2 linked regions of the Saccharomyces cerevisiae S288C genome follow. Changing the gene in region 1 together with any one later gene gives a genetic interaction. Each region holds a gene or a part of one and is shown on either strand. Other genes may lie near its edges.

What was found.
Region 2: mutations in RIM101 (region 1) and VPS8 together harm fitness more than expected from each alone (negative genetic interaction), as found in Saccharomyces cerevisiae (3 studies listed by BioGRID).

The regions. Positions count from the first base shown.
Region 1 is NC_001140.6:49,264-53,488, reverse strand, and holds RIM101 (alkaline-responsive transcriptional regulator RIM101), read right to left. Parts: upstream 2,379-4,225; coding exon 501-2,378; downstream 1-500. Other genes in the region: YHL026C (uncharacterized protein), read left to right, coding at 1-270; WSC4 (Wsc4p), read right to left, coding at 2,909-4,225. UniProt on the Saccharomyces cerevisiae protein: Transcription factor that mediates regulation of both acid- and alkaline-expressed genes in response to ambient pH.
Region 2 is NC_001133.9:141,550-148,031, reverse strand, and holds VPS8 (CORVET complex membrane-binding subunit VPS8), read right to left. Parts: upstream 4,326-6,482; coding exon 501-4,325; downstream 1-500. Other genes in the region: transcription factor TFIIIC subunit TFC3, read left to right, coding at 1-438; EFB1 (translation elongation factor 1 subunit beta), read right to left, coding at 4,872-5,412, 5,779-5,858. UniProt on the Saccharomyces cerevisiae protein: Required for localization and recycling of the CPY sorting receptor (VPS10) to the late-Golgi compartment. Involved in the retention of proteins to the late-Golgi. Plays an integral role in the complex vacuolar protein sorting process.

The sequences.
Region 1 (4,225 bases):
GGGTCCCACGACTACTACTTCAACGATTATCCACTACCGCAGGTCATGAAGTTGATTTATGCCGTTGTAATTGCCTTTGTATGCACTCCAGTGGCCATCATCGTCATTGTGTTGAGAAACCAGTTTCACGAGGAACTTTACTATGAAGGCTTAGCAAACGGTACGCTACAGCAGGATCAAGAAGTTTGCTCCACGGGTAATCGCAGCTCGGGATCAACCGATCAAGATATCAGTACTACCAAACAACAGTCTCAAGAAGCGGTAGCGTGAAGAAAAGCAACAAAAAAATAAAAGCATGTGCGAACTCTAGTTTAATACTTAATAAACTATTAATACTTTACAATTAGCAATCTATAATATACCCACCTTAACAAATAATTTTTCCTTTAACCATTGTTACCTTGTTTAATCCGCGACGCCGCGCTAGGGCATGTGTGATTTATTCATTTACTATACAGCCGCAAAGAAACAACTAAGAATAAAATATCCGACAATCCATATCATACCAAAATTTTGGGATACTTGGTCAAGATGCGAACTGAGTTAGTTCCCATTTGGTTTTGTAAACTCAATTTTTCTAAAGATTCTTGCAAGAATGCGTTTTCTTCATCTTTGTCCTCACTTTCTTCATCATCTAAATCTTCCATGACACAGCACAACAAGTAGTCCTTGATAATGTTCACTATACCCAACATCTCTACGAAATCATCCTCTATCTCGCTTTCGTCATCTACTTCTTCAATCGCCAGCTTACTCATGATAATATCATTAGTACAGCTTTTTTGGTTCAGGCTAAATTCCCAGTTAGGCTTCAATGAAGTTCCACCTGCCATTGTACGGCGCGATGGTAACATTGGTATCTTTGATTGTAGAGGCGGTAATATAGAACAGCCACTGGAGGAATAGCTAGGCGCAGCACGAACAGATGGATAGTGTGGCATAGCATACTGTGATTGGCGGTTGAAAACACCACCGGCAGTGTTCGAATGTAAAGGTGGCAAATGTTCAGTAAGCGAAGGACCAGTTGGATACTTGGCCAACCGTACTGGCACATAAGTTGCTGTATTTGCAGTGGCCGAAATAGAGCTACCACCTTGTACGGATTGGTATGAAGGAGCATTAGGTGGCTGCACATAGCTTGTTTGTGCTACGGGGATGCGCCCAGATGATGACGAGGACTCAGTACTACCACCGCTTTGTTGCAAAATGTAGTTATTTGTCATATTTCTCGATAGTTTGGTGAAGAATTGGGTGGCGTTTGCTATGGTCTTATTAGAACAACCGTCCTCGTAGACATTCATGCTCCGACTGTTGGCACCTTGGCTTACCGTGCTGCCGTTATTGTAGTATAATGGCGGCAAGATCGTTTGCAATCTGGCACTCAATTGTGGAGAATATACCGGCTTATACTGAGATAGCTCGTCTGAGCATAGTTGGTTTAAGGAAATAGCCCGCTGCTGCTGTTGTGAAGGCAGATGTTGAGATATACCCACGGGCAATGGGGGTAATATCTGTGGAGAAGTAGAATGTGACTTAAAGCTACCAGCTATAGCGGAAGGCACAGATGCAGAACAAGACGACACTGCGTCGCTTGCACAACTTTTGTTTTTCTTAGAAGTTCTTTTTGAGCCCCATTTGGGTCCCCTCTTTCTTTTCAAAATACCGCCACTTTCCAGATGAATTTTCAAATGCTTTTTTAAATCTTGCGGACGTTTAAACTTTTTGGAGCACGTAGAGCAACCGAACGGTTTCAATGGTACGTGAACTCTCAAATGCGAGGTGATATGGTCCCTTTTCTCCGTCTTCGTGGTACAGTCTCCCCAATGACAATTCAATTGTAGGTTCTTATGTGACTTCCTGCCAACATGGTCATGACACAGATGATTATATAGCAGCTCTGGTTGGTTGAAAATCATACCACAGTTGTCCCATTTACAATATAGTGTTATATCCTCAGAATCACCGTCATTATCCGCATCGTCGTCATCACCTGCCGGGTTATGCGCTTGTGCCAATGGCGAGGAGGAGGACGAGTCAGAGGAAGATGATGTGGTGGGTGAAACTGCCGAAGCGCCCAATAGATCGTATGGAGGAGTGTTCAAGTGTGAAGTACTATGATATGGTAAGCATGATGAAGAAGTGCTGCCTGGTGACATCCGTTCATCTTCTTGACCGTTCAAGCCAATAGCTTCCGTGGTACACCTAATTCTAGGCCTCTTCGAACAATCAGAAGACCTTTTAGATAGGTTAGGACTGGGCAGCCCGTCCTTCTTTGTGACGTTAGAAACGTCTGTCCCATTTTCTACTATACTCTCCCGGCTGTGTTGAGGTGCGGCAGTGCCATTTTCTTTATTAAGCAGATCTTCCAATGGCACCATCTTAAGTCAATTTAAACAAACCTACTTTACCGTTTTCAGTATTTTATCTTTGCACTTGTTCAAAAAGTGTTGTGCAATAGCAATATTACTTTCTCAGTGGAAGTGATAACAGACCAATAAAAAAAAAAAAGGTTATAGACGGTGACTCTTATGAAAACATTTAGTTCCTTTCTATATTATTGAGTCTTAATTTTTTATCTTTTGTCTCGTAGATTGGCATCCCTCACCCGTCTGAAATGATTTTATAAGCCTCCGTCATCTCGGACGTAATTTTAGAAACTCCGAGCTGGACGGCTATTTTATTTTCTGCGCCGTAATCTGTGAATCACAGAGAATGTCTCGCACGAACGCGGTATTTAGATTATTGTGCCTGCTGTCACTGGGCAGAGAAAAGTATGTACAAGATAACAGCGTTATTGTCGTAAAGCATTCTTTTGAGAACATTCGAAGGAAAAAAACAAAGTTCAGAATTAAAATTATGTATGTATTATCGTTCGTGGAATATTTATTACGTATAAGAGCTGCAGTCTTTATTCGTTCATTAGCCGCAGAACCCTCCTGGAGTAGTCTACGTTGTCTGATAACGAAATGGTAGAGTGGTTTGTGGCATCGTCATTTGCTAAAGTGTTAAGCATCTTACTTGGGTCTAGCCTCTGATCCACCAGTACCGTGTCTTCACCTAGAGTAACGTTTGATTCCATTTTTTCGTGTTGCTTTTGAATGGGCGAATGAAGAAAAGTAGAAGTTCTTCTGGGAAGAATGGGATCGTGAAATGGGCTTGCCAACGTGCTTGGGTCATTTGGTGGACTGCCTGCAGTCAAGGAATACGTAGATTGACGTGGGGATGGTGATTCAGACATAATTTGTCCCTTTTCATCAGTGTATATTAATCTTGGGGTCGAGAAAGTTGAATTTGAAGATGGTGAAGGCGTGTGTAACGTGGTAGTGGTAACTTCATTTGGGTACTTGGACTGGTAAAACTTACTCTGATATTCATTCTCAAAATCTTGAGCCTTCCGAGCGGGTCTTGTTCTATAATGATGTATTAAGTATATTAGTATGCATATAATTACCAAACATACCACTCCAACCACGACGAAAGTAGCGGCTATTTTCCCGGGCGAATCCCAGTACCCTTTCTTTTCTGTAGACTTGTTAGTTGGTGTATTGCTGTTGGTGGTGTTACTATTGTTATTGTTTGTTATTCTACCACCTACGCTGGCAGACGTAGTAGCCACTGCAGAAGTAGGAGTAGCCCCGAGGGTGGAAGAGTAAATCTGCGTTATTACTTTTTTCATGGTGAGATATCTCGAGGTGATTTCCGAAATGTTAGTGTCCATGGTGTGCACTGAAGTCACTGTTATCACAGAATACTTTAAGGAGGTCTGCAGGTTTACAGAAGTTATAGTGGACGTTATTGGAGATGCTGTGGTACTGGTGTAAGTAACCGTAGTGCTTGAAGGGGCTGTACTGGGTGATGTCGTAGTGAACGTTGTGCTCGTTGGTGTTGTATTAGACGAGCTTGTAGGTGCTGAAGAAGAAGTTGGCGATGTTGTACTTGTTGAAGTGGAAGTTGACGACGTCGTGCTTGTAGAAATGGGGGCTGACGATGTTGTGGTTGGAGTTGATGATGATGATGATGATGTGCTCGTGGAAATGAGGGTTGACGACGTAGTACTTGTGGTGGTAGATGTTGATGATGTGACACTTACGGTCGTAGAAGTCGACGATGAGGTACTTGTGGTGGTAGAGGTTGACGATGTCGTGCTTGTGGGAATGGATGTTGACAACTTTGTGCTTGTAGTCGTGGGCAGTGCCGATGTTATATCAGTTGATGGTGTTGTACT
Region 2 (6,482 bases), on another chromosome or scaffold:
GGAGAGCTATTGAATATGGATGTAATTCCAATGGTGAGAAATGTTCGACCTTTAACGTATACTTCAAGGAGATTTGAAATACGAACATTAACTCCCCCTCTGATTATATATGCCAATTCTCAGACAAAATTGAATACAGCAAGGAAGTCTGCTGTCAAAGTTCCACTGGGCAAACCATTTTCTCGTTTATGGGTGAATGGATCTGGTTCCATTAGGCCAAACATATGGAAGCAGGTAGTTACTATGGTCGTTAACGAAATAATATTTCATCCAGGGATAACATTGAGTAGATTGCAATCTAGGTGTCGTGAAGTACTTTCGCTTCATGAAATATCAGAAATATGCAAATGGCTCCTAGAAAGACAAGTATTAATAACTACTGATTTTGATGGCTATTGGGTCAATCATAATTGGTATTCTATATATGAATCTACATAATGAAATGAGGTGTATAAATTTTACTTTTATGTAACCAAAGTTGTATTAAATATTTAGAAATGTTATACTATTTTTGGGTTAGATTCCGTCTGGCAAATTAAACAAGAATATTCATCGGGTTTCTGGGCCAAGTTTTCGAGGCAAGTCTGGTGAAAGCCATGGTGACATTTGAATATGACAAGGGGAGTTTTGAGATCTACACTAATCATATCTTGGTGGCGCTGTACATTTTCCCAAGCTAGAAAAAGTAATGGGTCCAGACCAGCTCCCCATATTTTTTTCCCGCAGATTTCGCAGTCGTCGGTGTGTATAGACCACCCTTCACTCAGAAATTTTCTATACTGTTGAACAAGATCTTGCGAAGAATCCTCTATAATCTTTTGAATCAACTCAGAAAGAGATCTTTCCAATTTATAAGTATTAAAAACATTCAGTAGCAGTTGCTTTAAATCCTGAACTTTCATTAAAATAACGTCTTGGTGCTCAAGAACAGAAGACATTATTTCCCAGAATTCCCCACCTGAATCCTTCTGAGAGGAACTCTTGGACCTAACCAATCCCAAAAATGCTTCTTGAAGTAGTTTATTACATAAATCTTTCCTTTCATCGTGTGAAGGATATTTCCCATATAGAGTGATCAGGAATGTAATCAATAATATCCAACACGATTTTTTCTCGGTACCAGCAGAATTACAATCATCAAAGGCCCTCCTCAAAGATTCCAATAAAGTAGATATATTTGTTTTCCCTTCATTTAGACATTGTTCAATAAAACTTAATAAATCCCTGACTGCTAGGTTAAAACTTTCCAAGCGTTCGTGAATTATAGCTGCAGCTTCAAAATTAGAGTCTTGATTCAATAAGTCCAGAATTTGTAAGCTCTCAGCGTTGCTGAGAACTGTACCATTAAGCCAAAGAATCATTTCCCTTTTGCTCTTGTATTTACAGTTCAATTCGATGTGTAAATTTCTTAAACGCTTATCGACCTTATTGTTGATATTTGGCGTAGAAAAAAGCTTATCCAAATACTTTTGCTGAGTCTCCTCATTCTTTACTTCCAGGATTTCTTGATGAAGATTATAGTCAAAGTCAGAAAAAATTGTGACGCATTTTTCGATACCGATCCTTGAGAGAAGAAGATCAAAGTTCGTCTCGATAACTTCAGTAACTTTGCCACATTCTAAACTTCCAGGTGGGCATTTTTTGAGTATGTAGTCGGTTATGGATACAATGTCCGTGTTATATTCTTTTTCGATGTCCTTAGTTTCTAAAATAAGTGAAAGCGCACTGGCGTACTTATTTTCACTTTTATAGATATGGAAAAGAACTTTATTGAAATTTTTTTCTTTTAGTTCCAGTATAAAATTTTCTGTTGTTCTTGAATGATAATAGGGTAAAAGCGACTCCAGAGCTATTTGAGAAATTTCATATATACCTTGAACCCTAGAGGAGCATATGGTATTAACAACGCAGTCGAGGGCTTGGTTAGACACTTTAATAAATTGAGGATATTTTGATATACTAGTTGCAATGAAAATTGCAACAAGTACCCTGATGTTGTCTGAATTTCCCGTATCTTTCATAGCATCCAATAGTAGATCAATAACATATTGCCTACTTACCAATTCTGCTTCTCCAACTGATGCAACCATGTCATTGTCATCGTTAAACAAGGACGCTTCAAACACTTCATTGAGCATTGCTAAGAACCTACTCGGATTCGATTTCAATAAAAGGTGAAAGTAAGGAAATGCTGGCTCTTCTTCTGGATTTTCGCATATGTAAAGTTTATGATTGCTGTTCGACGGCCATTTTATGGAGAAGCCACTAAAAATAAATGCTGAAAGTTCCCTTTGTATTTTGGAGCATTTATCACTTGGTGATATAGACAAGTTTTGTGGATATTGCCTGCCAGTAAGGATATACGTTACGTAATCAAATATAGTCGTTTCAGGAGGTACTTGAGGACCATTGAAGATCACACATTTTTCACTTTGGTTAGAAATCCTGTATATCAAGTCCACCACTGGGGTTTGATAATCATCAAAGATCTTGTTCCAAATATATATTAATAAATCGAACAAATTATACTTTTGGCATAGTTTGACGGCAAGATCAACATCAAGCGTAGTAGGATTTAACATGATGATTAAGTCTTCAATTACTTTTAAATTCTCCTCCTTAGCATAGTAATCAATTATGGACCTGAAAAGAACTGGGGAAATTGACGTAACTGATCCTTGGGCAACAATATTTGCTACAACTTCAAAATATACCGCGTTGTCCTTCAATTCAAAGAACTCCAGACCCTGTTCCAAAAAGACGTCTAGAGAAGGAATTGAGTCTAGTTTTTTGGAAGATTGCTGCAAAACACGAACAACTACCATTAATAATTGGTAAACCCTATTGTAGTCGGCATTATCTTTTTTTATAAGAAACCTTAGGGCAGCCAAGGACAGATTGTAAAATGGTTCCATAAGTTGCTTAGTCCTCTCTTCCGTATTATTATCTAGCTTCAACAAGTTTGCCAGTGGACAGTAAGGTTGCAAAAGTGATTCTATGAACTCCAATGCACCCAAGTAGTCGCCTTTCAAAATATGTCTTAAAGTAATATCTGACCAAGACACAAATTTGCCAATTTTAAATGAGTAGTTTGTTAACAGGTAGAAACTTCTTCTACTTATTACAAAATATTTATTAGGTGGGATCATCAAATCGTGAATCAGAAAATCCAATCTTAACAGGATCTTGAAGTCATGTTGGGGGTGCAATACCAAAAATTGGTGCGATATGGTTAAAACACCAAGTAGGAGCTGGTCAATCCATTGAATGGATAATATAGATTCTGCAAATTCAGGAGAATGGCTAGCGGACTGAACATTGAAGTCTGATGAAGATATGGAAATAACAGAAATTTTATTATTTACGGAATAAGCAACCCTGGAACAGTTTTGAGTCCATGAAATAGAGCTATTCACGACTAGAGAATTTTGTACTGAGGGTTCAACAGTTTCTTGAAACATCAAAGAAACGTGTGGCGATAATAAAATAAGGGCAAAATGTGTAGTTGTGAGTACACTCAACAAATTAGTGGAAATTTTCTCCCGTGATATTAGTGGAGACAACTTTGACCTTATTAATTTCTCCTTGGAAGAGTTCACATCTAAAATTTTTTTTGAATTATACACCAACTGCCAAAAGCCTCTTCTGTAACCGTTATAGAGTGATACTTTACCTGTCCTATCACTAACAATCAGGGCTGTATGCCGAGCACCAAAAAAGTCTAACCCTGTGATTTCCTTGTTCACATGGTCATCGATGTGTAAGACTGCCGGTAAGGCAGGCGTTGGGGTCATACCATTTGTTGGTTCAGAAGTGGGTTTCACTCTATACCCTACGTTCAAGTTCCAAATGCATATATTTCCGGTCTCGTATGAGGCAGCTACATGAGTACCATCGGAACATATGACAATTGATTTCACTGGACTTCTTATTGAGTGAATAGAAGGGTCCTCAGATAAGGTCGGCACTAGGATTGTCTGCAAATGTTCATTATAATTAAAAATGAGTACGCATCCTTTAGAAGTGCCCATCAAAAAATACGTGGCTGTCGGATACAAGCACGTGGGCCCTCCATAAGCACCCAGGATGGAATATACGTGTGTTAAAGTTGTCCATGAGACTACGGATTCGGAGCCTTGTGACACTGCAGAAGCTACCCCTTTAGGACCATCTTCGTTCAGGGGAGGTGCCGTATATGAAGAACTAGATGCCAGTTTTTCACTTAATTGGGTATACGATCTAAATTCTAGGAAAGTCTTTTGAGTGTCATTAATAGTCGTATCGATGCTAGATCTGCTGTCGTGGTCAAGGCCATTTTGCTCCATTCTAGGTGTAATGAGTAATGGTCTCGGCAGATATATATTTTACACTTATTAAGCCTTTGTATGTATTGGTAATAACTGTCCTTTTTCACGCAGGTATATCATCGTAACCAGAGGTTCCCTTTTTTTTTTTTCCACAGGAAACTCACGTTTTGATTATATGTCTTTCTCGTTTTTGCCATGTTAAGCTACGAATAATGAAATTTTCCTTTTCTTCTAATCGTGAAAAAGTTATCCACCATAACTCCCTACACCGCGTATTTTCGACAAGATATTATGAGTATGTGTATTTAAGAATATGAAAAGAGATATACATAACTTGAATATTCCCGGAATAAATTCAATTAATAAACACGATTCCTTATATAGTGGTTACACAAATTAGTAATAATGTTTCGTGTGCAGTCGAAAAGTTTATCGTTCAAAATTCCTTCTGTTTTTTTTAGCCTAAAACCTAAGTTATTTCGTTGTTTTTTTCATTTATTTGTTAATCTTTACAATGTTGTTTTTGCTTTAATGTTAATTATAAAAAGTTTATAAAAAAGCCTTTTATAATTTTTGCATAGCAGCAATATCGGTAGATTGGACGTGGTCTTCGTCTTCTTCAATGCTTTGTTGCAAGTCATCCAAGGAAACCTTGTCATCTTCGACAACACAGTTAATTTGCAACTTCTTGATACCGAAACCAATTGGGATAAATTGGTGAGCACCCCAGGTCAAACCTTCCATTTCGATGGCCTTGACGTTAGCAACCATTTCTTCCAAATTGGTTTCATCATCCCATGGCTTGACATCTAGAGTGACAATGGACTTAGCAGCTGGCTTAGCTGGCTTAGCAGCCTTCTTAGCGTTGTATGCGGCAATTCTTTCAGCCTTCAACTTTTCAGCTTCAGCGTCAGCTTCTTCATCGTCGGAACCGAATAAATCGACATCGTCATCTTCTTCTTCTTCGGCAGCGGCAGCAGAGGCAGCTGGGAAAGAGTCGAATTCATCGGCCTTGGAAGCGATGTGGTTGAACCATCTGGAGAATTCTGGGTAAGCAGATTGGAAAGCCTTGAAGACAGTGACGTCAGCTTGAGAAACAGCAGTACTATTTTAAAAGGAGAAACAAAACATTTTGCTTGTTAGTAATGAGAACTTTTTTCTTGTAATGCAATCTTTAGACTCTGTCTTTCTTTTTTTGAACAAAAAAGGAAAAAAAAATAACAGATAACTAATAATGATACTCTGCTCTGTGCTATCGTCAGATACTGTGATAGTCAACCACATCTCTTTTGTCACTCATATCGGGGGTCTTACTTCCCATCATAAACACGGACCAAAGAATTAAATTCATCATTCACATAAGCGAAAAAAAGTAATCATTATTAGTTAACTTCCCTTTACATGTAACCATAGGAAAAAAAAAAAAGAAAGAAAAACAACGATCTATAAAGTAAACTAAATCGGAACATACCCTTCAATGTATGACTTGTCAGCCAAAGAAGCGTTTAATTGTTTCAAAGTTTCAATCTTGGAGAAATCGGTGGATGCCATTATGTGTGTATATATTCGGTTGGACTCTTCAGTGCTGAAAGGTAGAAAGCATGAGGTAAAAAGATAAAGAGTAGAAGGAAAAAAAAAAGAACCAACTAAATATAGTGGGTAGATAACCTTAAACTATTTATTTAGAGGCGACAATGTGAAAAATTTTTTCTTCAAAGGCTCGGTTGTCGACAAATTGTTACGTTGTGCTTTGATTTCTAAAGCGCTTCTTCACCTGCAGGTTCTGAGCCCTAAGAAAAAAAATTTCCTTGGTTGAAAATGGCGGAAAAAAAAAATTCAGAAAAAGAAATAAAGCACGTGTGCGCGGTGTGTGGATGATGGTTTCATCATTGTCAACGGCATTTTCGTTCTTGTGGATTGTTGTAAACTTTCCAGAACATTCTAGAAAGAAAGCACACGGAACGTTTAGAAGCTGTCATTTGCGTTTTTTCTCCAGATTTTAGTTGAGAAAGTAATTAAATTATTCTTCTTTTTCCAGAACGTTCCATCGGCGGCAAAAGGGAGAGAAAGAACCCAAAAAGAAGGGGGGCCATTTAGATTAGCTGATCGTTTCGAGGACTTCAAGGTTATATAAGGGGTGGATTGATGTATCTTCGAGAAGGGATTGAGTTGTAG